Mytilus edulis: one gene and its partner. The protein of the gene in region 1 purifies or fractionates together with the protein of each later gene. This does not show direct contact. Links are inferred from orthologs where the notes say so. Each region holds a gene or a part of one and is shown on either strand. Other genes may lie near its edges. The genes, in order: cryptochrome-1-like and F-box/LRR-repeat protein 15-like.

The links.
Region 2: the proteins of cryptochrome-1-like (region 1) and F-box/LRR-repeat protein 15-like purify together in Drosophila melanogaster (affinity purification with western blotting; 5 studies listed by BioGRID). This does not show direct contact. The link is inferred for Mytilus edulis from reciprocal best matches to the Drosophila melanogaster genes cry and jet.

What each region holds. Positions count from the first base shown.
Region 1 is NC_092353.1:49,651,803-49,668,511, forward strand, and holds the start of cryptochrome-1-like, read left to right. Parts: upstream 1-9,575; 5' UTR 9,576-9,732; coding exon 9,733-9,742; intron 9,743-10,651; coding exon 10,652-10,825; intron 10,826-12,049; coding exon 12,050-12,189; intron 12,190-14,411; coding exon 14,412-14,554; intron 14,555-16,709. UniProt on the Drosophila melanogaster protein: Blue light-dependent regulator that is the input of the circadian feedback loop. Has no photolyase activity for cyclobutane pyrimidine dimers or 6-4 photoproducts.
Region 2 is NC_092352.1:36,570,736-36,587,742, forward strand, and holds the start of F-box/LRR-repeat protein 15-like, read left to right. Parts: upstream 1-9,638; 5' UTR 9,639-9,756; exon of another isoform or gene 9,757-9,760; intron 9,761-17,007. Other genes in the region: geranylgeranyl pyrophosphate synthase-like, read right to left, coding at 441-501, 2,067-2,168, 3,303-3,419, 4,725-4,771, 5,217-5,302, 7,533-7,601, 9,125-9,175.

The DNA of each region.
Region 1 (16,709 bases):
CGTTCTCTGGTGGATAGTTGTCTCATTGTGCAGTCATACCATATCTACTTATTTAAATATCAGAACTTGAAACTCAGTATACTCTGTGTTTTGTTTAAAGGAAAGGAGTTTTATAAAAATTGGAAGGTTTTTCCATTTCTATCGAAGACTGTGTAAAAGAGACAGTTCAGTCCAAAGAGCAAAAATTTTGTTTGTTAAAATATATTCATTGTTGTCGTGGTTGTGGAGGGTCTCATTATCATCAGGTTTAGTGTTCATCCTTTCTTTCCGAGTTATGTTGGTATTCATATGTTGCTGAATTGATACAAATCCTTCTCTAAGACAAAAAGAAAAATGCATATAGCCAAGTTCCTTAAGATTCACGTTCAGATATCATAAGTAGGGGACAACTGACTGCCTTAGAGGGGGCTTACTCCTGTCATGCTTCGGTGATTCCCTATATAATCAACCAAATTTTCCACAGAAAAGGTGGGGGCTGCCCCCTAAATCCGTCTCTGTATATATCTACCGGTATGATGTCTTATCATTCAATAACCCACATGTTAGCGATTGTTTGCGTTTCTTAAACAGGCTTGTGCTCCTAATGTATAATCTGCTCCAACAGGGCTACTTAGATGGACGACTGAATATTTGATACTACGCAAGATTTACGGTCACCCGCCACGTCCTTCTGTGTTTTTGTAAGCAATTTTTCTGCTTTGTACCGATTTTAATGAGTTAAGCCACTTCAGACTGGTGATATACTGTTTTGTCTCAACTCCATGAACTCACTAGTGGGATGAGTTATTGATCTCAGGTATAATAGTATGAATAGTCGATTGTGTCCTGTTCTCAGTCGTGACAATCTGAAGGAGGCGGCTTCATATGACCGGTGATATATGCATAACAGGAGACGCGTTTGCCTTTTGACGTACCCAACCTTGCTTTGTTTGAAGTTCATACGATTCCCTCAGTATTTTTAGATAATTTATACTGTTGTATTCTATTTTGATAATAAGAATAGTCGATTGTGTCCTGTTCTTTAGCATATCAATCTAATGGAGGCTGGATTCGTATGACGGGTGATACATGCAAAACAGGAGACAATTGCACTTTTGGCGTATCCGACCTTGCTGAGTTTGAAGTTCATGCGATTCCCTCAGTATTTTTAGATAAGCTACTGCTGACTTTTATTTTTAATTGTTTTATCATCATGTTACATCCAATGATATAAGTTTGACATACTATGCGATAAGGGCTTTGTTCATTATTGAAGGCCGTACGGTGACCTATAGCTGTTATTTTTTGTGTCATTTGGTCTCTTGTGGACAGTTGTCTCATTGGCAATCATACCACATCTTCTTTTTTATATTTGTTATATGAACAGATCACCATCTGATTATTAGAGATATGAATTGTAATATATCGACTGATTTAATTTTTAAAGATAAGGGAGGAGGTCTTTTCAAAAAAAGATACACAGTATTACCAAAATGACAACCTTACTTCAAACGTAATGTTCTTTAATATTTCTTACAGATAAGAACATATTTCCATGTAGTTTAAAGTTTGAAATCTACACAGAACCAAATTTGATAAAAATTAAAATTAACTCACCGTTGGAAAATAGTTTTTAAATCCTTTGTGGATTGTTTTGGAATTCGTAAATCCAAGAATTATGCTACTCGGCCGGATATAATTCTCAAGCGGCGAGCCAGCACCTCTTGGTGAAATCAATCGATCGGAACATGTTCTTTGATTCACCAAGAAGCCTACGGGTGGAAATTAACAACTTATTACAAGATATTGACAACTTAAACAAATTACTAACTTCCTAAATGTATACATTGAATTTTTGTGAGAAATAATATAATCCATGCACAAAATCATGTACACGTGTTTGCATATTCCTTAAAGATACTAGTGCACACATTGGTTGCATGTTTTACATCTTCATTAGTAGAATGCTGTATAAGGAAAAATTGGGTACAGTCAAACCTCAAATCGTGGCTTAGTAAATGACTGACTCTATTTTAATGAATGGTTTCATGATAGGAATATTAACAGATAGATAATTATATGTAGTTCATCATTTTTAAATTATCACAAGAACATTAATTGCATATGAATAATATATTTAAAATGCAAAGTTTTCTTGGGCTTAAACGTTTCAAGGACTTGGATAGAATACAATAAACTGATTCTAATTTTCGAGAAACTTAGATGGACTAGGACGAAAATTGTCCAATCACAGTGCAGCTTTTTCTATGGCTAAGCTTTTGATGAAAAACTTTGATAGTGACAAATGATGACATGGACCAAGTTTACCTGGTAGATGTTTGACATGAAAATCTTTGATAGTGACAACACGCGACTTGGACCAAGTTTTCCTTGTCAAAGAAAACTTAGATCAAGTTTACTTTGGGGCACAGGACGTTTGTGCTTTTTTACCTGTAACACGATAGAATATTTGCGCTTCAAACACTAATAGGGACATTTGCGCCTTAAATTTGGATACACCTGTATCAAATTGATCGGTCATTTTTTCTATAGTTGTTTTCTGTAACCTTGATGAGTTATAATCAATTATTTCATAGTGCATTTCTTCCAACCCCCCCCCCCCCCCCCCCCCCCCCCCCCCCCCCCCCTTAACCCAACCTCAGTGATTTGTGATTTTATATTGTTCACTCTTGTGTTTTGTGTATCGTTGTTTGTCTTTTCGTCTTTTTTCGTTTATGAAATGGCATTTTCAGTTTGTTTTTGACATATGATGTTGAATGTCCGGACAGGGACAGTCTATACTGGTAAGTATAGAAAGTCCCTGGTCCGGACAATCAGGATCTTTCGCCTTACTTTTTTAACTGTTGTACGTACATCCGTCACGTTAAATGAATAATGAATAGATAAAAAACATTTATTAAATGTATGACTTTTCCGAAAACCAAAAAGAGATAAATTAGGTGTAGCATAAAATATTTTCTTGGTCCTGAGACTATTATAATAGCTCGATACACAGAAAATATATGTTCTGCTCTTTGGTCGGGTTGTTGTCTCTTTGACATTCCCCATTTCCATTCTCAATTTTATGACATATATCTATCAATAAAGTAAAGTAAAGTAAAGTAATCTTTATTTAAAGTCGGGTTGCATATATACATAATAACAAAGAACATGAGCTCTTAAAAGAGCTCTTTAACCGACTAAGTCAATAAATCAGCTTTTGACTTATTGGAATAACAGTCTTTGAAAATCAGCAATATGATTCGTGATAGGCATAGGTCAATGTCACCATGTCATTTTATCTGAAAAGAAGGAAAAAAAACAGTAATTGCACTCGCTATAACAAAAGATGAAGTATTCCTTGACGACAACTAAAGTCACGTCGCATACAACGTGATCCTATTGATTTTTAATGCAAAACGCGATCATATCATTAGTATTAATTATTCAACTCATCAGGTAAGAAGGACAGAATTTTCTATCAAGTTAAACTGTAAGTAAAATATCTTTTTTTTAAATAGATAAAAAATTAAATAAATAAAAAGAATTGAGAATTAACAAATACACGTCAAGTAAAATATTTTGTAAATTCGTTTTTTTTTTTATATATATGTATGGAATTTTTAATAGTTATGAAGATATCCTTTAGCTTTATGTTCCGATATAGCTTATGCCTTCTCATTAAATAATTCATAGTTGGTGGCTATGTTAAATGCATCTTATAGAAGATAAAGGTTATAGCAGATTCAGTTTTAAAGTCTACCTCATATCTTGGCCTACATCTAGAAATTGACAATTAAGGTCGGGCGAGAAACAAAACTCCGCAACAAAAGAAATTATTTGTGAACTTTACATTTCTATGTAGCATCATTCTAACAAAGCCCCAGTGCAAATGGAGAATATATCTCCCAGTTGATAAGATAGTCCAGAGCATGCATTTTCTAGCATGATTTCCATGATAGAACGTTGTAGCGATTGAACTGGTAAAGTTGAAAACATCTTTCGAATGTGAAGGACGCTATGATTAGTTTTTGGCCATTGTGGATGATGACGACGGATATTTTCCAACTGTCGAAACCACAACCTCGTCTTCTTTACTGCCTCGGATGTGACCTAATTAGGTTAATCACAGGTTTTGTGTTTACATGAGCAAAACAACGGATGCCACATGTCGGGCGCACATGAGCTCACCTTTGGTTTTTGGATGGGCTCTTGATTCTCGATCTTTAGTTTTATTTGTTGTGGCCGAGTTTGTGTACTGTTGTTTGTCTTATTGCCGTTTTTCGATTATTTTTAGCTAAGTAAACCAATGTAAATATGATGTTTTACTCATATCATCTTTTCGCTGATTATGCCGATGAAAATGTTCTTTGTTAAAATTGAGAATAGAAACGGGGAATATGTCAAACAGACAACAACCAGATCAAAGAGCAGACAACAGCCGAAGGCCATCAATGGGTCTTCAATGCAGCGAGAAACTCTCTCACCCGGAGGTGTGCTTCAGCTGACCCCTACACACAAATGTTTACTAGTTCAGTGATAATGGACGTCATTCTAAACTCTGAAATAGTCGGCTTGTTTTTGCATATGTGTTTTGGGCTCCGCCCTGTTGGGATCGTGGTAACTGGAATTACGATGATCAGTTTAACACCAGTGAAACTTACTGCATATGCGTTATTGCCGCTAAAATAAAATGAAAATCAATAATTAATCAAGAAAAATGAGTACAGTACACTACTAATCATTTGCTGTTAGCGAATATTTTATTCTCATAAACATACATAGTTACAGAGAAATTAGTATACAATTATAATACAATAATAGTGCATGCGTAAATAAATATGGAAAAAGACAGTTCATTTAATTGTGTATGTTAAACACAATTTAACTAACCAGGGATAATACATGTTTAATGAATCTTGCTAGTTTTTCTAATACAATAATATCAGTTGATGAGAATAACTGAATAAATTTTGCAGCATTTGCATTTTTTTTAACAATATTTCGGTAACAATTTTTCCTTTCTGAGCTAAAAAAGTTACAAACTAAAACATAATGGTTTTCATCACCTATTTCATTTGAGTTACATACAATGCAGGTTCTTTCGTCTCTTTGAATTTCATGCCATCTGCCCGATTCAATGGGCAAACAGATGACAGCCACATCTGAATTTACATAAATAATACATAAGATATGAGGGTATTAATGACAAATAACGTTCAAAACAGAATTCCTTCTTAAATATTCTATAACAAATTGTTTTACTTGAATTAAAAATGTCAGACGACCATTCTTGCTTAAAACCACAATTATCAAAAATGCTTTTAACAAATTTCAACCATTTGCTTTCAAAACCATAATTCTCAAAATATACAAACAGCAATTTGTAAAGAATTGACGAGATTTTTTCCTCTTCACCATTTACTAATCTACACTAAAATTTTATCATTCGCATTTTAACTGTAAGCGAGATCGGAAATCGTCCGAGTTCTCCATAAATAATGCTATTTGGCGTTGTCTGCTTTAGGTTTAATATGATCTTGCAAAAACTCAAGTGTACTTTTTCTAAAACATCTAAATTTTCAAAACCCCAGATCTCTGAACTGTAAAGTAATACTGGTGAAATGGCTTTATCGAACATATCTAATTGACGTTCAATTGATAAATTATGTCTTCGACATTTTTTAATAAACTATATATTGCTTTTGTTCCCTGGTCTCTCAAATATTTCTTGTGGTTAAAAAAGATCCACTTTTAGCAAAAAATACACCAAGATACTTGTAGTCTTTGACAATTTCTATTTCTTTATTACAAAAATATTTTTTTTCTTTTTAATTAAGCATACACTTGGTGTCAAGTTTAGAAATAATATCCAATTATTTAGACTGATTACAAAAATATCGCTGTGTAAATCATTTTTGTAATTGTTTTGTACTTTAGGTTGTACTTAGGTGGCCTGAGAAACAAATCTAGAATTTAAAACTGGTATCATATTGTTAAGTCCAAAGAGTATTAGTTAATGTGTATGCTTAAAAAAAGAAAAAAAAATTTGTAATAAAGAAATAGAAATTGTCAAAGACTACAAGTATCTTGGTGTATTTTTTGCTAAAAGTGGATCTTTTTTAACCACAAGAAATATTTGAAAGGCTTGTTTAGGGGGTATCAATATCCCATAGCCCATTAAGTTTTTATCTCAATATCCCGTATCCCTATAATGTTTACCCCTAATATCCCAATAAATATTTTTTACAAATATCCCATATCCCTAAAACTATTTTGAAATATCCCAAAAAATCAATATAAATTCATTTTTTCCCCTCATCATCACAACGTCAACAATTTTGACTCTGGGAAAACAAACTGTGTTAAAGGAAATTTAGTGCATACTTCTAGTGTTAAATAAGAATATACAATGTATGTGTCCAAAAGATGAAGTGTTCCATCTTAGAGCCTTGTATAACAATCTCTTTTTATGTGAGGTTAAACGATAAATTTAGTGTAAGGGGTCTAATTTCGGACTTTTTTTTTTAATTGTTCAAACCGTGATGCATATGACTGTAAAATATAATTTTGATAGCATTCTTCTTTCATTGATAAGAAACTTCATCCTGCACGTTAACCTATGTTGGAAAGAACAGAAGGACTCAACCCTGTCTCTTGTCCGAGATTGGCCTGACATCCAACGGCTGTTTTGCCAGACAAGCTGAGACTGTGGGACGTCAGAGCACGTCCATATCAAAAAGTGGATATTTAGCATGCAAGTTCAATAACTCAAAATTTAACACAAGAAAGCTTTTTGCTAATGTACCTACATTACACTTAACTGTTTCAATATTTTTACAGCAGGCAAAATTTGCACAGCCCTTGTATTGCAAAGAAATAACACAACATTTGACTCTGTGATCTTGAACTTTATGAATTACATAGATCCAAATATTTTTGTTACTTTTTTTTAATTTCCTTCCTCACAACACCAGTAATAGAAGAAAATATATTTATTTACATTGATTATTTAGTAATTATTCTTTATTAACATAGTTTATACAGCGAAATATCTACTTTTTGATATGGGACGTGCTCTGACGTCCCTCGGCCCCAGCTTGTCTTGCAAAACAGCCGTTGCACATCAGAGCAATCTGTGAAACGTGGAGACCTCTGAAGATCCTCGCCACGCCATGTAAAAAATAAGAGGTAAAACACTAGAAAATATCCTGTAATCATATAAAGCATCATAACAAATAAAAACATTGACAACAATAAGTCTTAACTCATCAGATGGGTACATCTAACAAAAATCTATGATTATTTCAAGAAAATTATCAATGCATATGAGCATATAATATAAAAAAAAAGATGTGGTATGATTGCCAATGAGACAACTCTTCACAAGAGACCATATGACACAGAAATTAACCACTATAGGTCACCGTACGACCTTCAACAATGAGCAAAGCTCATACCTCATAGTTAGCTATAAAAAGACCTGAAATGACAAATGTAGAACAATTCAAAAGAGAAAACTAACGGCCTAATTTATGTATAAAAAAATGAACAAAAAACAAATATGTAACACAGCAACAAACGACAACCACTGAATTAAAGACTCCTGATTTTGTACAGGCACATACATACATAATGTGGCGAGGTTAAACATGTTAGCGGGATCCCAACCCTCCCCTTAACCTGGGACAGTCGTGTAACAGTACAACATAAGAACGAACTATAGAAATCAGTTGTCGTTGAAAAAGGCTTAACTCATCAGATGGATAGAAATAGAAATACATCTAACAAAAACAGCCTGAGTGGACGTGACCGAGTACTTGTACATCCCATCAACAAAAAGACACTAAGTGCAGATCTGAGAGTACTTGCAGTTACTGACAGCTAGTTCAAAGCCAATTACAACTAATAAAAAGTAATGCATCTGAGACTAAATTATCAATCATTACACATCCAGCATCCAATGGCACGGTAAACAACATCTCCGTAAAAATGAGGATGTGCTATCCCGTTTGAAATAAATTTTCTACAGGTAGAACCAAACTTCAAAACCAAATCTAGAATTTAGTAAAGATTTGAAGTGATTTGTGGTAACGAAATCCCTGACTTAATATTATTTACCAGTAATACATAGATTTCGTTCATTAAAATCCAAAACGTTACAACAGACACGAGCATAGCGGAGGTGTTGTGATATACAAACACTATAAGATAGTGCCAAAGCAAAAAAAGGAAAATTAACAATAAGGAACGAAGTATGGAAAGCAAACCAAATACTTTTAAAATTATCAGTACATATGAGCATATAAATATCGAAAACAGATCAATACTTTTCGCCTGGGTTTGGATGACTTTTAAATAAAACGACCATTAACTCAATTAAAATCAACAAAGCACTAAAATGACCTTTAACTTTTTTGGGCAATTTTATCAAGTGAGATGTAAATATTTCTGTACTTTACTTTTAAATTCCACTTATTTTTTTCATGTTAAAAATTCAATATCCTTATAAATGCATCAATATCCCATATCCCATTTACTTTTAGGACAAATATCCCATATCCCTAAAATTAAAATGGCAAATATCCCGTATCCCAATATACCCTATATAAGCCTCTTTAATAGGCCAAAGACATTTTGGAACAAGCTCGGTTGTTTTCAATCGGCGCTGAAGGAAAACTTTTCTTTTAATTAATTCCACTTTATAAACATGCGAAAATTTAAACATGCAAATTCAAAAACACTTAACTTTGACACACATGATAAGTATGATGTACTTGAAGATTCATAAGTTCCGACAGACATATAATTACACTGGCGGATCTAGAAATTTTCAGAAGTTGCGTCCCACTGACTGCCTAAGAGGGGGCCCGCTCCAGTCACGCTTCAGTGATTCCCTATATAAGCAACCAAATGTTTTCCCAAAAGGGGGGGGCCTTGCCCCTTGCCCCCCTTAAATCCGCCTTTGATTTTTTTAATAGGCCAAAGACATTTTGGAACAAGCTCGGTTGTTTTCAATCGGCGCTGAAGGAAAACTTTTCTTTTTAATTAATTCCACTCTATAAACATGCGAAAATTTAAGCATGCAAATTCAAAAACAATTAACTTTGACACACATAATAAGTATGATGTACTTGACTCGAGATTCATAAGTTCCGACAGAGACATATAATTACACTGGCGGATCTAGAAATTTTCAGAAGTGGCGTCCCACTGACTGCCTAAGAGGGGGCCCGCTCCAGTCACGCTTCAGTGATTCCCTATATAAGCAACCAAATGTTTTCCCAAAAAAGGGAGCCCTTGCCCCTTGCCTTTCAATCCGCCTCTGAATTATACATGTATGTCTCTGGTTCCGACAAATGTTTCATTAGAGATAAAATTCAACCCCCTACTTTCAATAAATTATTTACATATATCAAGAAAAAAATGAACCTTCTTTTCAACTAATAGAAATCATGAAATACTTAATCCCCCTACATTTTGACCAACCTTTCCCAGGTAAATCATGATAAGTACTTCTCTCAGTGATATTGGAAATTCCGGTTCTGTATATGCATATCTATCTCCGGAGTTGTGTTTGATATTTTAAGCAATTAACCACTTCCTGTTTATTTTTCTTTGGCTTTTCCTTTATTTTTTGTGCTGATTTTCTGATTACAATATATTTGACATGATCGAATGTTATTATCAGACAACAACACGTCAACTAATGTTACAATTATCTGAGTGTATTTTTGGAGTGTAAAGTTCGTAATGTCAAAAGGTTTGGACAGTCCCCTTAAATTAGTTTTATATACATTTTTATTTTTAAGAAAAAAAAAAAAACAAAATGGGATGTTCTTTTGTATTGCAAACTCATTATTTTTTTTTTGGTAGCAAAAATGTTTAAACAGATTTTGTACCACAGGCACTTGTTTCTATCCATGGGAAGGTTGACTATATATTATTTTATTTACTGTAACTACAATTAATGTACATGTAAAACATAGCTCTTTATCCAGCCTTATACAGGTTGGGCTCAAGTCATAATTATTTGGACTAATTTATGGTATGAAATATACAAAAGTGCACCTTTTATGAATCATGTACCTGTGATAAAAATGTTCTACATATATGATAGCAAGTGTTTCTATTACTATTAGCTAAAAATCAAGCTAATTTCAGATCCAATTCCTTTGTTCACCAATTCATACCTTGAACATCAATAATGAGATGTCAAAAATATAAGTTAACCACATGGGCATTTAAATATAATGAATAGAAATTTTCAACAGAAGTGAAAATAATTCAGTTATGGTCAGTAACCATGGTAACATGTACACCTGGAGCATGCAGCTTGATCAAATGATTCCTAAACAATTTATTTTTTTTATTTTTTGAGTTCTAGAAAAAACAACGAATCACTTATTCATGTTGTGCTGTTCCTGAAATACTTTAAGTAATTACATGAATTGAAATAGAAAAGGGAAGTCCCTGTTAAATTGCATTTTTTTTAAGGGTTTTTCCTGAAGACAGGGAATACCCCACTTTTTCTGACTTGAGCCAAACCGGTTCCATGTATAAATGACATCACAAGATAATTTGAAAAAAAAGAGTTCATTGTCTCAAGTTGCAAAAATTGTTCAAGTTGATTAACAAATAACTGAAAGTGTAAATTCATGTTATGTTTTAGGAGATGCTAAGGAGCTGAACATGCCACCACAAGATTTTAATAATCGACATGGGAATGTTTCTGTCCATTGGTTCCGGCATGGTCTACGTCTTCATGACAACCCAGCCCTCTTGGAAGCACTGAAGAATTGTACAGAGTTCTATCCTATATTTATTTTTGATGGAGAAGTTGCAGGTACTTAATAATTTGAGATTTACCTTAAAGTTACCATACATAGTGGGTCTCATTAGGGTCTAAGCGTGACACAGGATTGCCGATTATTTGTTTATAGTGACATGTGAAAGTCAAATTATCATGCCATGAAAACTGGAAATGAAGTCTAGCGGGACACAGGAAATTACCCAAAAAACGAGAATTGCTTACATACATGACATACATAGTGTAAGCAGGATACGGGAATCTGACAAAATTAATTACCTAATATATATGTATTACAAATAAGAAATTTTACCTGCAAAATTGGTCATCCAGAATAGGGGGTGGGTCTGACCTGCAAAATTGGTCAAGGGAATGGAAGGTGGGTTTGACCTACAAAATTGGTCAAGGAAATGGAAGGTGGGTCTGACCTGCTAAATTGGTCAAGGAAATGGAAGGTGACTTGGGTCAGCAAAATTTGTCAGTCAGAAAGAAAGCTAGGTTTCTGGCTTTTACTTGAAAAAGGATTACCAGTATGTTGGTTAGCAAAATTTTGTGTGCAATGGATCACCTACTAACTCATTAAACAGTTGATACAAGGATTTCTAAGCAAGCACAGAATGTTCAAATATATATGGCATTGTATTAAACATCTCAATTCCTAGCATAAATCAAGCAAACACCAGGGATCACCTCAGAAAAAAATTGAATAATTATAATTTAAATCTTTTGCAATACTGGTACTCTTTCTTATTTTTTAATGATAACAAATATTTTTATTCAATCATTTCCTGATATATAAATACCTAAGTAGCCAAGCTTGCATACTTAGGGACCCTGTATTTTAAACAGCCTCAATACTGGTACTTATAAATCCATTGCTCATGATTATTTGTGGGAAAAAAACAAAACAACCAAAACAATTTTTGACAGACCAAATTCAAGTACGTATTTACTATGAACATGATGAAGGTATATGCATAGATGGGACATTGGTTCTACATATTTTTTACTTGGATATTGGCTACAATGTGAGTATTTATGCACTTATAACATCAGTTCATAATTTAAGTATTGAACATTTTTTCAGCAGAAAAGACTGGAATTTTGAAATAATCTGGCCTATAATTGCATTTGAACTTTGGTGGAAAATTGTCTCGGTGCTTATCACATCTCCTTATTTTTATCATGTTTATATTAGAGTTTATCCATTTGATTCTATATTCACATGTGTTACTAATCTTCAACTTAACTTTTTTTAAGGTACCAAGCATGTCGCATTTAATCGAATGCGGTTTTTAATCGAAAGCCTGGAAGATCTAGATAGGAATTTGAGAAAATTTGGTGGTCGACTGTATGTTTTCCATGGTCAGCCTGTGGACATTTTGACCAATCTATTCAAGGTACTTTTAAAAAATAATTATCAAACTATAAACCAATACTTCAAGTTTGTAATTTACATAAAAATGTAGATAATCTAGATTTATAAATATTCATTGAATATATACCAATTTTCACAGATTTCATGAGTACAGCAGAACCACAAATTTGAATCCTTTTAGAATTTCAAATTTTCTAAAGGAATTTATGCAGACTTTGCCAAAACCACAAAATTGAATATTAATGTAAACATGGTACATGTAAATGCAAGTTTTCCTTAACCCACAAAAATAGGTGAATCCACAGTAATTTAAATTGTGTGCTTATTCTTTGAATTTCATCTGATGACCAAGGTTTTACAAACAGCCATATTTGCCAACATGACCTAATGTGAAAGGACAAGGAAAGAAAGGGTTGATTAGGATTAAGGTCCCAATTTTTTTTAACAGAAATAAATGTTATATCAATAATAGTGCAATCATTCTAGAACTATGAACTCTTGTCTAGTATGTGTTAAGCTGCCACAAATTTCAAACACTGTAACATGGTCTTCATCAACAACATTTTTTTACATACCAACCCAAGATCTGATATATATTTATTAGAAACATAAGATATAATTATAACTGTTAAGTTCTTAAAGAAAATGACCAACTGCTCACACTGCTAATAAAGTAAAATTTCCCAGCAGAAAAATTGATTTCCCAGCAGACAATGTGATATATCTTTGTCAATTTTGGAGACAGAATGAATACTGAGGATTTATTTACTTTCACAGATACCAATTTTGGTGGATTGAGGAAACTTGTATTTTCGTGGACATTAAATTTCATGGTTTTGCCTTGAACATTTGAATTCGTGGTTACCCTGTTTTCACAAAATCCACGAAAAGTGGTATCCACCAAAGATTAATGAATCCACAATAGATATTAGTGTTAAAAGACATGTACTCTAATTAAAAAAAACCCAATTAATGTCATGTTGACCTCTGCATATCATTTTTTTTGTTTTTGTGTTGTCTGCTTGAAATGATGTACATGTACATGTATACAACATACACATCATATGAAAAAAAAATTAAATTGTAAATGTGCATCAATTAACCCATTGTATTTTGAAAACCAATGTGCAACAAATGCTACATGATCATCAGATTCTTAGTTTCTGTAAAGTACTGTGTATTCATTTATTTTCCTGAGTATCAATTTTCATGGATTACCAAAGAAAACTGGCATTTTCGTGAATATTTAATTTCATGGTTTTGACAAAGTCTGTAGTCATTCCTTTAGAAAATTTGAAATTCGTTGAAAGTTTAAATTCATGATTCCACTGTACCCATGAAATCCACGAAAATTGATTTCCAACAAATATTTATGATTTCATAATAAAAGTCTAAAAATTTGTTATATTTCTCATTGATGTATTGCTCATATATTTTCTGTTACGAATGGGGTGTAACTTTGCATTTCTCATATATTTTCTGCTAGGAATGGGGTGTGACTTTGCATTTCTCATATATTTTCTGCTAGGAATAGGGTGTAACTTTGACTTTCTCATTTATTTTCTACTAGGAATGGGGTGTGACTTTGCATTTCTCATTTATTATCTGCTAGGAATGGGGTTTAACTTTACATTTCTCATATATTCTCTGCTAGGAATGGGGTGTTACTTTGCATTTCTCATATATTTTCTGCTAGGAATGGGTTGTGACTTTGCATTTCTCATATATTTTCTGCTAGGAATGGGGTGTTACTTTGCATTTCTCATTTTTTATCTGCTAGGAATGGGGTGTGACTTTGCATTTCTCATTTATTTTCTACTAGGAATGGGGTGTGACTTTGCATTTCTCATTTATTTTCTACTAGGAATGGGGTGTGACTTTGCATTTCTCATTTATTTTCTACTAGGAATGGGGTGTGACTTTGCATTTCTCATTTATGTTCTACTAGGAATGGGGTGTGACTTTGCATTTCTCATTTATTTTCTACTAGGAATGGGGTGTGACTTTGCATTTCTCATTTATGTTCTGCTAGGAATGGGGTGTGACTTTGCATTTCTCATTTATTTTCTACTAGGAATGGGGTGTGACTTTGCATTTCTCATTTATTTTCTACTAGGAATGGGTTGTAACTTTGGATTTCTCATTGATTTCCTGCTAGGAATGGGTTGTAACTTTGCATTTGTCATTTATTTTCTGCTAGGAATGGGGTGTGTTACTTTGCATATCTCATTTATTTTCTACTAGGAATGGGGTGTGACAAAACTAACATTTGAGCAGGACCCTGAAGCTGTGTGGAAACAAAGAGATGATGCTGTAAAAGAACTTTGTGAGAAAAAGGAAATAGAATGTGTTGAAAGAGTATCCCATACCCTTTATGAACCAATGAAGTATGTATTGACAATCAAAATAAATTTTTGCAATGTTTTTATTATTGTGAAAATTGCAATGGAATGGTGGTACAATGTAGGTCAATAGTATTTGGTATGCAATTGTATTAGTATTGGCACAACTCATTTCATAATACAGTGAAACCTGTTTAAACCGAACTTCTTTGGGACTTAAGATTTTGTTTGGTTTTGGCCAATGTTCAATTTATCAGGTTCTCAATGCACATAAATTGACATGACGGTACTTACTAACATGTTTAGTTTATACAGCTTTTCTGTTTATACAGGATTTGGTTTAGTCAGGTTTCACTGTAGATGATTTGGCCATGCATGCCATGTCAGTCATAGTCTATTGACTTTGAAACTTTTGCCTAGGTATTTTTTACTTTACATGTACATGTATTAGTTTGTGATATAGGTCAGTTTTAGGGGAACTATTAGTGGTAGGTAAATGATATTTTTTATGCTAATTGCAGATGTACTAACACTGGCACATCTCATTTCCATGGAGATTTTTTGCTTACATGTATATAAAAAATCATAGAAAAGAATAATATCATGCCAGGTCTAATATACATTTTTTTTACAGAATCATAGTATATAGATATTTTATATGCAACTATCTGTTTTATTACCTAATACATACCGAGTCAGTTCTAACAAACTCTTAATAATAAAGCACATGAAAGTAACAACTGTATTTTAAAATTATAATGTGTAAGGAGCGTATACATGTACAACCAATACTTTAGTAATTCAATAAAACAGACATGAAATCAGAGTAATTTAAATGACAAGAAATCATTAAAAGTCAACTCAAAACATTTTGGTAACAATACTCTCTGAGAACATTCACCGACATTTTGATCATAACACTTGGCGTCTGTCGTCCGGAGTCTGTCATCTGGCGTCCGTCATCTGTAAACTTTTACAAAAATCTTCTCCTCTGAAACTACTAAATTTAACCAAACTTGGCCACAATCATCATTGGGGTATCTAGTTTTAAAAATGTGTCCAATGACCCCACCAACCTACCAAGATGGCCACCATGGCTAAAAATAGAACATAGGGGTAAAATGCAGTTTTTATACGACCGCAAAATTTGAAAAAATTTTCGTCGTATATTGCTATCACGTTGGCGTTTTTTGCACTCTAACTTTAGTAAAAGTGAATGGAAATCTATGAAATTTTAACACAAGGTTTATGACCACAAAAGGAAGGTTGGTTTTGATTTTGGGAGTTTTGGTCCCAACAGTTTAGGAATTAGGGGCCAAAAAGGGCCCAAATAAGCATTTTCTTGGTTTTCGCACTATAACTTTAGTTTAAGTTAATAGAAATCTATGAAATTTTGACACAAGGTTTATGACCACAAAAGAACGGTTGGGATTGATTTTGGGAGTTTTGGTTTCAACAGTTTAGGAATTAAGGGGCCAAAAAAGGGCCCAAATAAGCATTATTCTTGGTTTTCGCACAATAACTTTAGTTTAAGTAAATAGAAATCAATGAAATTTAAACACAATATTAATGACTACAAAAGGAAGGTTGGTATTGATTTTGGGAGTTTAGGTCCCAACAGTTTAGGAATTAGGGGCCAAAAAGGGACCCAAATAAGCATTTTTCTTGGTTTTTCGCACCATAACGTTAGTATAAGTAAATAGAAATCTATGAAATTTAAACACAAGGTTTATGACCATAAAAGGAAGGTTGGTATTGATTTTGGGAGTTTTGGTCCCAACATAATAAGGGGCCCAAAGGGTCCAAAATTAAACTTTGTTTGATTTCATCAAAATTGAATAATTGGGGTTCTTTGATATGCCGAATCTAACTGTCATGACTGTGTATGTAGATTCTTAACTTTTGGTCCCGTTTTTAAATTGGTCTACATTAAGGTCCAAAGGGTCCAAAATTAAACTTAGTTTGATTTTGACAAAAAATGAATCAGTTAGGTTCTTTGATATGCTGAATCTAAAAATGTACTTAGATTCTTGATTATTGGCCCAGTAGTTTTCAAGTTGGTCCAAATCGGGGTCCAAAATTAAACTTTGTTTGATTTCATCAAAAATTGAATAAATGGGGTTCTTTGATATACCAAATCTAACTGTGTATGTAGATTCTTCATTTTTGGTCCTGTTTTCAAATTGGTCTACACTAAAGT
Region 2 (17,007 bases), on another chromosome or scaffold:
TATCTTAAAACAGATTTTATGTTCTGTATATGTTTGTATATTCAGTTAGAAGCTCCTTAGAGTTTGTGTTGTATATTTAACTTATGCAGAAATATAAAATATAGGTCATAGTAACCTTAAAATAACTTAACAGTGAAGTGATAGTTCAGATGGCCTCTACTTTCGATTTGGGATTCAACTTCAGTACAAGAAAATAATGCATGTAAAATAAGATTTATAATGTTTTGGTCCAGACGGGAAGCTCCCACAGATATTGAGGCATTGGGCACATTAATAGTTTGGTCCAGACGGGACGCTCACACAGATATTGAGGCATCGGGCACATTAATAGTTTGGTCCAGACGGGAAGCTCACACAGATATTGAGGCATCGGGCATATTAATAGTTTGGTCCAGATCTCCTTTTTTTTTTAAAGTAAATATACTTTGCACTACACATACCTTTTGCATTCACTAAATAACTGCATTAATCTTACAGCTAGTCCAAATAAACCACCGGTTTCTGAAATAAATACTCCAAATTTTAATTAATTCAATACATCATTATTAATTTGATTTGAAGATTAAATATGTCAGAATGAGTGAACTGAACAAATTTAAAGTAAAAAAGTGAAAATGACCTTGATTTTCTGAAAACTTAATCTCATCACTGTTCAAGAATATTAAAGTCATAAGAAATGAGTGACCGGTGAAAAATAATGTTCTTCCAATTCTTGAACCAGTGCATACAAAAATCATAAACTTAGTCTTCTGTGCACAAATTTATCATTTTTTTTCGTGTAAATTTCGTTTAATTGTTGGTTTTTTTTAATCGGTCAGTGTTGTTGTGAAAATATGGCAGGTAATTAAAGTTTGTGTTTTGAAGCCGAAGTTTAACTATTGTCACCTGTTTGTCAACAATCGACAAAAAATCAACAAAAAAGCATGGAAATTAAGCACGTGTTTAACATGTAAATTCAGATAATAGTTTATTTTAAGGACATCCATGCGTATTGTGATCACCAGATTTTTACGAGATGGGTCAGACTGAGGTCACTTTGCATACGGAAAATATGTCGGGGGGAATTGCTTCCTGGAAGGAAGCAATTAAAGTATAGTAAACTTCTTCTAAATATGAATAAATTAAAGAATTTTCTTCAGAAAAAAGTATATGTACATAAGTTTTATAATGAAAACTATCCATTGAGTTATAAAAAAACATATGCATTATTTTTTTTTTATTTGAGGTTTCTTATGACTTTACGAGAATAAGGTCACTAAAATTGACAAATTATGTTTATCATTTTGTTCAGTTTAGTATTCTTCAACATTTCTAAACAAAACATAAATGCATACATCAGAAGTAATGAAATAAAATCTTTAATAAAGTACTTGTGAGAATTGTATGGGTTAGAATGCATTGATTTTGCAATGTGAACTAACAATGCTACATTAAGACAACATTTTAAAATAAAAGTTATCTTCCTTTGTGTATAATTGTAGTTTAATTTGAACTTTCTTTTTCAGAACAGATATATTCATACACAATGAACATCATGCAAACCTTTTTTTGTACATTTATGGTTTAATATATATTCACATACACTTCATTTTGTAACTTAACTTGAATTTCTGAGCATATATCTAATATTAATCATTTGCTAGACATGGGCATGGATATGATCTAAAGAATGCCCTCCTCACTGAATAATGGTGGTAAATCTCTCAAAGGTGAATACAAGGCTTAGAAAATATAGTTATCAAGTTAGTGGCACAAGGGTTTTAAATGCAATTCGTGTCATCTTTCCCTAAAAAATTGGTGTCTCTTTAATAACAGATTATATACTGTAAAGTATGATGATGCAAACACAGTTTTCCTCGTTTGATTGTTCTACATTATCATTTGGGGTGTTTTATATCTGACAATTTGGTACAGGTTTTGCTCAATATGGAGACTGTACTGACCTAATTTTTTTTTTTTTATTTCTGAGGCATTTGGTCTCTTGGGATAAGTTGTCTGAATGGCAATCATACCACATCTTCTTATTTTTATATTTTCTAAAATACTATCAACTAAATTTGACTTACTTCTTATAACCATAGTGTTATATTCCTCCTCTGTAGGGCACACTACAGAATCCCTCCAATATATATCCATACCCTGTCCTCTGTGAAGCTCTAATAACTGCTCTGAAACAAAGTACATAAGTTGTCTTCATCAAGTCTTTATAAATGTTTCTGTTCTTTCATAATAAGAGTTTTGTGAAATAATAGCAAAGTGTTTCTATACAATGACAGTCGATCCAATAGCCCTTTTTGTTCTCAGTTAATGTAATTGGGTTTTTTTAATTCATTGGTGTTGTTTGGTGTAGTGTTCTATATTTGTTTTCTTCTTGCAATCAGCCTTCGATTTAACAAATAAGGGGGGGATCTGCTTTATTTGAATTCTTTTTTTAATTTCTGAATGATTGAACTAGGATTTAGTTTTTTTTTCTTCATTAAATTACAACTAAGCTGGCATGCTCATCCATGTCACAAAAAGGTTTTCAGCTCAAGCTTCTCAACAGAAAGACATGTGAATTAAGTGTTGACTGTTAGAACAGCAATTGTCTATATCCCAAAAATGTCTGCCTATGGGAAAACTCTTTTTGATCTTAAAAAACAAAGGTGGGCAAGATTACAAAATTTTCAAACCAAACAAATTATTTTTTTGGTGTAAAAATTAGCTTTGGTGAAAAATTTTAAGATAAACATTAATTAATCAAAAGCTTGTTTAGATTAGCAACATCATTTCAGAGAAAGATAAAAGTGTTATTTACCATAGGGTTACTTAAAATAAATCAAAAGACATCAGAGCTGTAATTCATTGAGCCAACAAATTGCCAAAAAAAGATTTATCTTCTAAATTCATTGTCTCTTCAACACAATAAAGTTTGTAAAGATTTGTCAAAGAGTAAAAAAATAAATAATGGCAACCAGACTATTGCATGTATTGAATAATCTCTGGTTGGTAATCCTCATTTCTTTATAAAGGAGTAAACATAATTGTTGAATTCAATTTTTCATTTCAAGGGAGATAACAAAATATTAATTGTTTGTCTTTTATTGTTTATAGTGCTTTTATCCATTTAAAACCTAATCATCTCTTTAAACCCAATAAAAAGAGTTTTTATCCATTTAAAAACTTAATCATCTCTTTAAACCTAATAAATCACTTAAACTCAACATATTTTTTAAGTACAAATGCATAAAATGGTAATTATATCTACCAGGTGTGAAAACTATATAAATAGACAAATTCTACAAACAGAACTGATATTAAACCTGTAAATACTTTGGTTGCTTCGGGATGTTCTAACATTAAAACTTTCTGTAGACCCAAGAAATAGATGTAGTTTGCAGAATTGATGGTATGTGCTACTCCATATATGGAATGTGCCACTGAAAAAGATAAATAATCATTTTAAAAAGTTCTCAATATACATTTTTTAAATCTTGAAAGTGTATGTAGGCATCTGTACTTTTGGCTTTATTTCAGTAAATGTAAAAATTCATTGATACAGTTTAAATTATGATTCTTTGTCATGTCGTAGTGTTATGATAATCTATAATGCAACACTCATTGAACTAAAAAACTTTTTTAATTTATAATTTTTTTTATAGTGTTTATATTAAATTAGGGTAAAGTTTCACAGGCACTTGTCTCAGAATTTTTTTCCCCTATATACCTTAATATTCATTTTTTTTTTAAATTTCAGCCAGTCGTGAAATTCTGTTATTGATATTTCTACACAACCGTGTATAACACTGCTACTTTTGTTGTATGAATCATTAGTAGCAGGCCTACCTAAGTATGTCAATTGTAATTATTACGTCTGCAGAAGATCACACAACTTGCAGTAAATGATTAATTATAAAAAATATTTAAGAACAAAATTAGTTTTTGTCTGAATAGAACTTATCACCCATTTAGTAAAATTGTTTAAGATACCATGGAAAAAAACCTAACAAGTGTTATTTGAGGTATGTCAAATAAGTTACATGTTTCTTTTTTTATACACAAATTTTCCCATTACGTCAATGTCATTTAGACTCTCTCTTTACTTTACGAAATTATTACGATTGACATCCTTTGGTAGGATTGCTACGGATGATTCTGACAACAAACGTAGGCATGTGATACACCATTGTGTAGATAAATCAATTAATATTTACGACATAACAAGTTTAAGTGGGGTTGACAACCGATAAATATGCATACAGCGGAAATTTCGACCAGCTGACATTTAAAAAAAATACAAGTTAAGAACTTTGTGTTATATTAAAGTATATAGGGGAAAAAAATTCTGAGACAAGTGCATGAGTAAAGTTACAATAAATTAGCTAACTTAGCCCTGATATGCGCCTGTTCAAAAGAAAGAAAAAAAATGTCTCATCCTATAGGTAGACAATATCTAGTTTTGATGTGCAAACCTTTTACAATGAAGTTGTTTTATTTCCATCATTTCCATCTTTTTGTGTTATAAAGATGGAATGTCTGAAATTAAGAGTCTAATTTAAAAAAAATATTTAACAGTTAATCGAAATGGTCCTAATTTAATTAAAGATCTTGTTTTCTTCAAAATAGCAAAATATTTATCTTATTTTTATGTACCGGGTAATCAGAGGAATGTCATATAAAACAGTGCTTGTTTATTTTATTCATCAAAATGACCAATAACTTTAAATTATAATGACTTGTATTACCTGGTATACCCCTCCTCAGTTTGGAATTATCTTCAATGTCATCTATCCTATGGACAACAAATAAAAGAAATAACATTCAATAGCCAGTTTTGTCATGAGGTATATTCTATAGATTGAAAATTTCACATAATTTGCAAACTATATTGTATATTTAATTTTTGGGGAAAAAAACAACATATGAAGTTGGGTGTCGTGTTTGGCAGGATTGCTGTACTGTCAACTATTTTTGGTAATTTTAGTTATTCTTGTTATGTATAATATGGTGTAGTTTTGAGATACAACAGTGCATTAACATAAAACTGAAAAAAATCAGCTGCTTATCTAATGTACAAATGTTTACCGAAGAACATGAAGAATAAAAAAATACATTGTTTCCATTACAGTATTAACTTACCAATATTGTATTGTTTTCCATTGGCAAACATAAGATAAAATCACCAAGTACCATATATTGAATGACAATATTTTTTTTATTATCAAGATTGTACTTACAATAAACTTGCATTATGTAACATCTGTGTAACTTCTCCAACTATCAGCAATTTGTCTTGTGGTATATTCAACCAACAGTTAAATGCCTGCAAAAAAGGTGTTATTACAATTATAACAAAAATATGCATGCATATGTAACCACAATAGAAATACTTGAAAAACTTTGGCAAAGAAAAAGCAACTTGAAACAAACAACATGAACATTTAAACTGAAAAAAATGCAATGTGATAGATTTACACTACATTGTAGGTTACATTCTTAATTAATATATTAGCTAAAATAAAAGATATTGTCTCTCATTTTGTTTAACCAAAAAATTTGAATACATGTAATGAATAAATTAGGCACTGATCTGTTCATTATGTGAAAGTTCAAGCTCCTTGATCATTCTGTCCAATGAAACAATGATTAATGTTTCAATTGCCTAATACAAAAGTACAACTGTGAACTCTTCTCACTAGAGGTTGCACATCTGTAAATATAGACAATGCAATTTCCCATATGAACTCCTTTTATGACTAAAACTGTTCTGCTTTGACATGTTTGGTAAGAAGTATATCCTAGAATGGATATTTCATATGCACTACTATTTTTTTCCAAGGTCAAAACATAGGGCTGTACAGCATATTTTCAGCATTTATATGCCTCAAACTTTTACTATAATACTTCTATTCTACCCCTCCCTTCACGTTTGGTTTTCCTAACAATTCAATTTGGCACTTTAGAAAATTTGGTGTTTATACTGCTAAAATTCCCAATTTGTGTCTCTATGAAATGAAACATAGTGATCATATCTGAGAAGTGAAAACCAGTAGGTATACAAAACAAAAAATCTATGAATTTTATATCCATTGTTACCCTTGCTTTAAGAATCAATAACTAGAGGCTCTAAAGAGCCTGTGTTGCTCACCTTGGTCTATGTGCATATTAAACAAAGGACACAGATTGATTCATGATAAAATTGTGTTTTGGTGATGGTGATGTGTTTGTAGATATTACTTTACTGAACACTCTTGCTGTTAAAAATATATCTATCTAATAAAGTATTATGCATTGTGCCCAGTAGTTAGAGAGAAAAACATTTTGTAAAATTGACCATTTTGCTCATGTTGACTTACTAGTAGATCTTATTTTGCTGAACATTATTGCTGTTTTAAGTTTATCTCTATCTATAATAATGTTCAAGATAATAACCAAAAACGGCAAAATTTCCATAAAATTACCAATTCAGGGGCGGCAACCTAACAACCAGATGTCCTATTTATCTGAAAATTTCAGGGCAGATAGATCTTGACTTGATAAACAATATTACCCCCATGTCAGATTTGCTCTAAACGCTTTGGTTTCAGAGTTATAAGTCAAAATCTACATTTTACCACCATGTTCTAATTTTAGCCATGGCGGCCATCTTGGTTGGCTGGCCGGGTCATTGACACATTTTTAAAACTAGATACCCCAATGATGATTATGGCCACGTTTAGTTAAATTTGACCCAGTAGTTTCAGAGAAAAAATTTTGGTAAAAGTTAACAGACGACCCCGGACAATGACGACTTCGTTTGCAAGTGATGAGAAAAGCTCACTTGGCCCTTTGGGCCAGGTGAGCTAAAAAAGGAAGATTAATAAATAAAAAAATATATCTGAAAACAGATTACAAGATTACAAATACATGTAGTCTGCTACCCAACAACTTCATAGTGCCAAAGTTTTTTTTTTTAATTCTATCTATATGGATAATTTGGTAAAGATAACTTTACACAATGAAATCTCACAATTTTGGGCAACCATTGATGCTTGTATCCCTTGTGAAGTATGCAGTTGTATTTTCTTTTAAATGCAACAGTGAGTCCTGAAGACCAACCCTTATGGTCAAATGTAGGCCATGGTCAACCATGTACTGATATTAAGCTGAAACTAAAAACTACAAAATAACCTTTAAAAAAAGCTCTATGTCTGTTTGGAAAACTGAAAACTTAATAACACTATTTTTTTTTTTTCTAATTTAAAACATTGACAATAGGTAATTTTGGTCACGTTGGTTCTTTTAGGCAGGTGAGCTGAAAAGAAGTTAGTAGGGTGAGACAACATATAACTGTTCAACATCTTGCCAGTTTAAGTTGTGTTAAATCAAGTTTCTACATGTTTTTTGAATTGTTGTCTTTCCAATTTTTTGTGTTTTTCAGTGTTGTTTGTCTTTCTGATGTTTTATTTCTACTCATTGACAATGTTTATTTCTTACATTTTTTTATTGGATAACTTGTTTGCAAAAAATCACTTTACAAATATAAAATGCATTGATGTAGTAAATCTACTTACAGCTGCAAGTTTAGTACGAACTTGTTTTCCAGGAATCTGACATATATACTTATATGGTTCTCGCAGCATCTGTAAAAAAAAAAGGTCTTTGTACAAGGTTCACCTAGGCATGAATAATTTGAATAACAACATCTCAGTAATGATTAAAAAGTACACTCCAATTTGCATGCCCCAACAGTTTGCTGAGCACATTTAATAGATCACTCCACTTTTTTGGTTGAGTCTTTTTAAATTGCTGTCTTTAGTTTTCTATGTTGTTTTTTTGTGAACTGTTGTTTGTCTTTTTCTTTTTTTGCCATGGTATTGTCAGTTTATTTTCAACTTATGAGTTTGAATGCCCATTTGATATCTTTCACCTCTCTTTTAGTCATAATACATAGCAATGATTAGTTTAATGTCGATAATCACTTGACATATGCTTGATTTCTGCTACAGATAAATACGAAACTGAAGTACCTGGCTTTTAATACAAAACTACACTATTTTTTCAACAACAAATTCAACAAGGCACATATTTTATATGTTATAGCGTGTATCCAATCTTTGTGTCAATACTGACAATACAGCAGTTCAGGGTTACAGTTTTTAGTCGAATCTGTCATGTGACCATGGTGACGTAACCATTGATCACCATGTGACAAAAATGTAGGCATTGTCACTGCACATGTTGAGTAAACAATTGAAAAAGTTTGATTTTATACTTTAAAAAATATTTGGGAAATTAAAAACTTATAATATCATTGAAGATGGTCACCCTTCCTCTATCGTAAGGGAATCAAGATTATGTACTTACAGAACATAAATAATTTCTATGCATGCTATACATGCTATTTGCAACCCTATACCGTATATAGAAGGATGATTAAGAACGTGCTGGAAATTTTTAAAGGGGTCTCATTGGGGGGTATCCCGGATCCCGTCGGTCAAGTTATTGTTTAGTGAGAATCCTGTATCCAGCTTAATTCTTGTTGCCATAATGCGCATGTAATTTCCCATGTCCTGTCAGACTTCGTTTCCCATTTTAACACTGAACGATCTTTTCCGGTGAAATACTTGATTCCAGAAATGAGGTATAACAATTGAATGTGAGACCTGAATAAATCGTAATACTATTTAGCATGTTTAGCAGTTTAGTAATAATAATTTAGATAGGCTGTATATAGTGGGTCTCATTTGGGTCTAAGTGTGACACGGGATTGCCGATTTTTTGTAAGCGTGAAACGTGAAAGTCAAATTATTATGTCGTGAAAATGGGAAATGAGGTCTAGCGGGATCCGGGAAATGACAAATAAAATGAGAATTGCCTACGCACATAGTGTAAGCGGGAAACAGGAATGTGACAAGACAGTAGGCGGGATCCGAGATCGGTTGCCCCCCAAGGCAGTACACCTTATCGCTAATCCCGGCTGACCCCCAATCACTTTTCCATTGTGGGGTCAGATATTTTGTATTGTGACGTCAAAATTTTACGGGAACCTGTGTGATATCCAGTAATGGCAGACAAATAGCGATAAGGTGTATGAGACCCCCTATATAAACAGACGAATAAACAGATAAAATGACAAATACCATTCTGAATACCGATATGTTACCTGTTCTGTTAAATCATCATTATTCTGTTCTTTTGATGTTTCTGAGGACATATTTTTTGAGGATTATGACAAATTTTTTTTTCACACTTTAGTTTTACAATTCCGGATATCCGTAAATTAGCGCTGGTGTACTCCGGTTGATTTTCAATCTACTATTGTATATTCAGAACTTTTCAGATTAGAATGTGTACCAAATATGATGGCATGTAAGAAATCAATAATATACTGAATGTCTTTTTTTCAATTTCAATACGTGTTTCTCCCAAATATAGGTATGACTAACAAATTAAAAGTTTCGTGGTCGTTTCCAGCCAGTTTCCGGATATTGTAAAATTTTGTTTTAAAGTGTTAATAAATTATTACAGTTGATTCTACTTTACTTATTTCTTTCAAAGCACACAAAAATCAATCATATAATGTGATATTTTTCATTAATTTGTTAAAATCCAATTTTATGTGAATCTAAAATTTATATTTAGAATATATATATCAGTTTTAATAAATAGATGAAATCAACACTTTTTATAACTTGTATTTGACAGGTAGTCCATTTGACAGGGTGCTCTATTTGTCTATTGACAATTAGATGATTTTGCTTTTAATCAGAATATCATGCTGATCACATTTCAGTAGTATGTATGCTTTTGTCACACATGTAATTCTGTATAGATCTAACCTGCTGTCAGGTTTTGAAAGGACTAAAGCTTAACATTAATAATCTTTAAAGACATAAAATACAATGTACAGATCCATAATTTGTAGTACATTGTATATATATACATTTTATGTAACTACAGCATGTACAGGTTTAGCTTTCTTGTCAATCTGACCAAAAGTCTATCCTTCACAGTCGTTCTATCCTGAGTTGATCCGACCCAAGAACATGAAGAAAGGCCTCATAATAAGAATATTTTTTTATTTTTCCAATTACGATTTAAATGGCCCTATAGCATGTATAGGCTATTACATGTATAAATGATAGATCCATGTATTACCGCTCAGATTATTAAATTATTTAACACCTTATTTCTGTTCTAATTTTTTATTATATCAACTACAGATAAGATAAGATAAGATAAGATATTTTTATGCCCCACCTACGATAGTAGAGGGGCATTATGTTTTCTGGTCTGTGCGTCCGTTCGTCCGTTCGTTCGTCCGTTCGTTCGTCCGTTCGTCCGTCTGTCCCGCTTCAGGTTAAAGTTTTTGGTCGAGGTAGTTTTTGATGAAGTTGAAGTCCAATCGACTTCAAACTTGGTACACATGTTCCCTATGATATGATCTTTCTAATTTTAATGCCAAATTAGAGATTTTACCCCAATTTCACGGTCAACTGAACATAGAAAATGATAGTGCGAGTGGGGCGTTCGTGTACTGAGGACACATTCTTGTTATTTCCAATTATGGGCCCCAAAGGGCATAAACATTACAACATCAATAATTTTTTCATAATACAATACAAACAATGAGATAAAAAAAAAAAAAAAGTTAAACGAGAACTATTTAAGTTCTTAAAGAATACGTAGATAAAGAATCTATAGTATATGTTGGTTTTTTTTTTAATACTAATGCATTTTATTACAAGTGTGGTTGATATAGATAACAAACAAGCAGCCCAAAAAGAAAAAAAAAGAAAAATAGATATCCACATATGTATAGTACACAAAAAGTTGGATCAATTAAATATATAATAATTAGCCAAAAAGAAAGTAGAAATTAAACATGTCCATGACTCATCCTGTGTCAGCAGCAAATAGGAAAGCATTATGGTTTCCTAAAGGCAGCTGACACCAGGGGACGATACCTTATGGGCCATAGGCATGTAAAATGTGTGTAAATGTCTCTTTCCTACCTGTATCAAAAGCAAACAAGGAAGCATCATAGGTAACTTGAATGCAGTTGATACCAGGGGACGATGCCTCAAGGATATAAGAGAACATTTGAATAAATAATATATCTTAACAATTATTTTTTTTTTTTTTTTAATCGGCTAGTATGTTTGTGATATTCAGATGAATATAATTTTCTATGTCCAATCAAATGTATATACACACATAGATTTCCTTTAACTAATCTTCACTAAGGAAGATGTTTGTATATAAAATTACATATTATTTTAAGTAACTCAACATTTTCTACACTAAATAACCAGATAATTTTGCTTTGACTGTTCATATGATTAAAATAAGAATTATATTGTGCAATACTAGCTAACATACAATTTCTATCATCCTCAAATTTGTTACAATCAAATAGAAAATGAGCCTCATCTTCGACAGTATTGGAAGAACATTTATTATATTCTGTTAATTCGGGGAATACCCTGATATCTACCTAATTCTATTTGTAATCTACGAGAAGATACACGTAATTTAGTAAAACTTCTTCTAAGTTCAAAATTCTTGATCAATGTTAGATATTTTTCAAAACCAAAATTTGTTTTATATAAAAGGTAGGTTTTCAGTTTACTGTCTGAAAATTTATCTATTTGTTTTTTCCAACAGCTAATAAACAATATTGATAGCTTGGTTTGTATATATTTCTTAAATTTGTATAAGGATTCACAAAATGGAGCATTTATGGCATTTGTATAGTCAATACCAAGTATTTTAAAAACAACATTTATTGAACCATACCATGATGTTATATTCATGTGATGTAGTGTCTTTGATTGTGTATATGCCTCTTTTAATAGAGGAAAATTATTACCTAAATTCTCTAATCTATACCAGTACAATAACATTCCTTTTATAATATTAAAATATATTGGAAATCTTCCAAGTTCAGATAACACTGCAGCATTTGTTGTTTTCTTGTGTACCCCAAGTATAAATTTACAAAATTTTATATGAAGTTTCTCACAGGGTAAACCTGAATATAATTTTTCAAAAGATATATCTTCCTTCTTACATTTAGAGGAAAGAGAATTAAACATCCCCCATATTTCGCTACCATATAATAAAATAGGTTTTACAGTGTGGTCAAAAACATGAATACTTGTTTTTACATCAGGATTAAGTGATAAAAGATCTTTCCTTAATTTGAAATGAGCTTTCAGGGATTTTTTGTATAGTTCATTTTGAGCATAACTGAATGAACCAGATGAGCTTAAATATAAACCTAGGTATTTGTATTTTGAAACACATTCCAGATTTATATTCTGAAATGTGAATATCTGTTTTACATGTCTGCCTGCCTTGTTGAAAATCAGCACCTTTGTCTTATTAGTATTCACATTGAGACACCAATCTTTGCAAAATTTATCAAGCATTCCCAGCTTTTCTCGTAGTCCTTCAGCTGATGTAGATAATAAAATAATATCATCAGCATACATTAAACAATGTAGATCTTTGTCATTGACATTAACTGGGTCTCTAGTATCTGACAAATATCTGGGCAAATCATTTATGAATATCTTGAATAAATTCGGACTGAGGTTGTCACCTTGTTTGACTCCAATATCTAATGGGAAAAAATCACTTACTTGATTTTGAATTTTGACACATGATTTGCTAATTTCATACATACTTTTAATAATGTTATAAAAATAAGACCCAGCCCCAATATCTAGTAGTTTAATCTTGATCCCTGTATGTATAACAGTATCAAAAGCCTTCTGAAAATCAACAAAACAGGCAAACAGTCTACCTTCTTTTGAATTACAGTATTTGTTAATAAGACAGTTTAAAATAAACATATGATCTGCAGTTCTGGCTTTCCTTGTGAATCCAATTTGACTATCATGTATTATATTATGTTCCTGAAGAAATTTGTCCAGTCTTAGACTTAATATTCTATTAAAAAGCTTTCCAATTGCACTTGTTATTGTTATTCCTCTATAATTGTTAGGGTCACTTGTATCGTTGCTTTTAAAAATTGGTGTAATATAACCTTCAGCCCAAGATGTTGGGTATATACCTGAAGACAGACAAGTATTAAACATCTGTTGAAAACTTTTTAAAAGGAAAGTCTGTCCATTCTTTATCATATTATTACTAATGTTATCCAAGCCTGATGATTTATTGCATTTTAAGTGTGAAATGGCTTTGGATATTTCAGACTCAGTGATAAAGGAGTCCAACTCGTTGAAACATTTTGAGTTTTCTAACTGTTTCAGTTTTTCACATAGCTCTGTATATCTACTTTGAAATTCACCTTTCAGTTGTGACAACTTTTGGAAATGTGATATCAAAGTTGATGGTTGTACTCCACATTTTTTTTTAGTTTCATTTTTTTCCTGTAGTTCATTAATTAAGTTCCAATACAGTTTTGGATTCTCTTCGTGCAAGGAGTCCAGCTGACTAATCAATGATTGTTTGTATTGTTTGTATTTATATTTCCTTAGTTTGGAGTATTCACGATTCAGTTTATAAAAGTGATTTTTGATAATTGGATCATATGGAAATCTTGAATAAATTTTTCCATAATTAAGCAAGTTAGTTCGAGCTTGTTGTAAACTTGCGTCAAACCACTTTTTGTTTTTTTGTTTGTTTGTGTGTTTTTTTAAAGGTCGTTTAAGTGATAGATTTGCTGCTGATAAAAAGATGTTTGAAAGTTTTGATGATGCGTCATCTACTGATGTCTGAGTAAATTGAATTGTGCTGTTGTTGAATTCTAGTATGTAGTTTTGTAGTGTATCTGAAGAAAGTGTTTCTTGAAATTTTATTGCTGAACAGTCAGTCCAGATATAATTAGGTGTCATATTTTTCAACTGGATTGGAATATCATTTTCTCCAGGAACACAATATTTTGCAGATAATTCCCACTCAAGTTTACAATGACAATCAGATAATGTGGGAATAAATCTGGATACTTTAAAATACAGTACATTTTCAAGAATTTCTTCCGACACAGCAACATAATCAACCACACTTGCACCATTGGGGGTATAGCAAGTAAAATTACCAAATGTATCACCAAGAACTCTGCCATTTAAAATTCTTATTTGTTTACTAATGCAAAAATCCAAAACTTCTTTGCCTCTTTGATCAATTTTTTGGTCTCGACTTTTTCTTGTCATAATGTTTTTGTCAGTAGGGTATGTATCAAAAATTGGAGTAAATTTTGAATCATCGTTTACTATAAAGTCATTTTCAGAGCCTATTCTGGCATTAAAATCTCCACATAACAAAATTTCACCCATTTTTTTATACTGAAAGATATCTTTTTCCATGCATTCAAAAACATCAGAAGAGAGTTCTTGGGTATATTTAGACGTAACAGGGGGGTTGTACAGTACACAAATAAATAGGTCACTTTTAAATCCAAAAAAGGATTTTTCTAATTTAATCCATTGATAATCTGGATTACTGTTAATCAATATTTTGACATGAGGTTTAACGTGACTTTTCTGTAGAATTGCTATACCCCCAAAATGACGGTTATTATTTGATAATTTTCTACATATTGGATGATAATGAAATTTGCCAATATTGTGTATTTGGGAATTATATCCCACATGAGTTTCGACTAAAAAAACAATGTCGTAATTCTCTATATGTTTCAGAAAAAGGGGATCCTCTGCTTTATTCATGCCCTTTGAAAATAAGCCACCTATATTCCAATAACCAAATTTTACAGATGATTGGTTTGATTTTGGCATTTTGGTTGATACAATTAAATCTGGTATAAATAATAGAATAGATTTTCTATCTATAAAAAAAAAAAATAATAAAAATTTGTCTCTAAATAAAAGGAAGAGACAACAAGGAAAATATTCAGAAATGTAAATATTTGAAATAAGTAGATTTATTTAGAGGATAGTTTTTACAATGGTTTTCTAAATACAAATAGTCTATGATATAATGACAGATAATTTCTTTTCTATGTATCCTCTTTTAACTGAATAACTATTAAACTGATTTGGGTTGAATAACCTGATATCCTGGGTTAATTCAAGATCAAAAGTATGATTCAAATGTGAAAACTAAAAATAAAAATGAATAAAATAAAATAAAAAAGGCGAACTTTTATACCTAGCAGAGGTTACATATATATGACCATGTAATAGTGTGACTTCTTCACATAATGGCTGTTTCATTTGAAAAATCTTTTCAAATGAGAATATGAATTTATCAGCCCAAAAAAAAAGAAGAAATATATAAAGTTGTACATGTATATATAAATTATATGTAAATGACTTTAAACATGTTAAAGGAAGTCAACATAATGATATGGTAATATGTATAATATTAAAAAACAAGTTATTCATGATGACCTCTGCCACGTCCACGTCCACGTCCTCTTGTGTTGCGCGATTTGGATCTACCTCTTGAATTTGGCATGGGAATGTTTAAGGCAGTGTGTATTCCACGTTTTAAGTTTGCCGATAGCTGAGACACGCCAGAGTCAGAGAGATGAAATTTATCTTGACTTAGTAGCTCTGCAATTGGGTTTCCATTTCGCAACATATTGCCATGATCAACAAGTAGAACATCTTTATTGTCATCATATATTTGTTTCAACAAGGCATTTATGATTTGTCCATTTGTGTTAAAAATTACACTGTCGAGTCGAGGAGTAGTAAGAGAGATGATGCAACCACTATTTTGCCATTTTTGAAGTGCAAGCTTGACAATATCTTGTATTTCTTCTACACATTGCTGTGGTGATTTTATTTTCAAATCATTCGTCAGGGAATGAAACACTACTAGATTTGGAATTATATCCGATATCTCCAAAATAGCTTGTTTAGTTTCTTCTAAATTGAAAGCAGTAACCTTATTGGTTGTAAATGATGGCGATAGCTTCTCTGCATTGATACGTTTGGTATTGGATGTACCAATTAAAATAATTGTTGGTTTGTTATCAATGTCAAGTTTAGATTTGTCAATATATTTCGTGTCTGCATTAACAAGATGAAAATCTTCAAATCGAGAAATCATTTGGGAGCGGAGAGAGATATTTTCTTCTTGTAATTTCTCCAAGTGTTGAGTATGTCGTTTTAGAGTATCAGTTAGTTTGTCAATTTCTTCATTTTTGGTTTGTAGGCTTACCGATAGAAAGTCGATCTCAGAGTTTGAAGTAGTTAATACCTTTTTCATTTCTGCTCTAGTCTCCTCCAGTATTTGATTGTGACATTTCATTTGATCTTCATGTTGAGCTTTAGTTAACATAATATTGCTTTGCTCGTGTTTTAATTTAACTTCCAAAGTCTGTTTTTCTGTTTGTACGGTTTTATATTTTAATTGTAATGTTGATATCTCATTGTCGTCTTTTCTACCTTTTCCCAAGACTAGAACATCATCATTGCATAGTTTAACAGCAGTTAATACTTTGCTGAAGTTTTCATTGTGACTGTGTTCTATTTTAGCCAGCGTGTCAACTAAATTTAATTCAAGCCTTTGAAAATCATCTTTTTGAGGTTGATCTTCTTGTACTAGTACTGATTTTAACCCAGTCTGGGAGTCAGGTAATACACAAGTGACCTTGTCAACAGGGCATAATTCATTAATGTGTGTATTGTTATTGTCATCATGACATTCGTGTGAAATACATGTATTAGTAGGACTGGTTTGTGATATGTTTGTAAGAACTTTATCAAGAATATCTTTCAGAATTGGAAAATGAATATCCACAAACTCATAATAATGACTGCCTTGTACTCTTATTGTTCCTGTTGTGACAAAAAATGTAATATTAAATTGAAGTTCCCCCTTTTTTAATACTTCAATCATCACAGAATTTCCACTGTTGTTTCGGTTTTCCCATATTTTGGGTTCGTCATACCATTCAATATCATTATCAGGTTCCTTTCCAAGATTGTCATAGAATGTGATGATTTTAGCATGTTCATCATACAAGTTTGGGTCAATTTGCTCGAAAAGGCTTAATTTTGCTTTACCAGTCCTCTTGTTTTGCTTTGATGGGAGAGATGAAAGAGG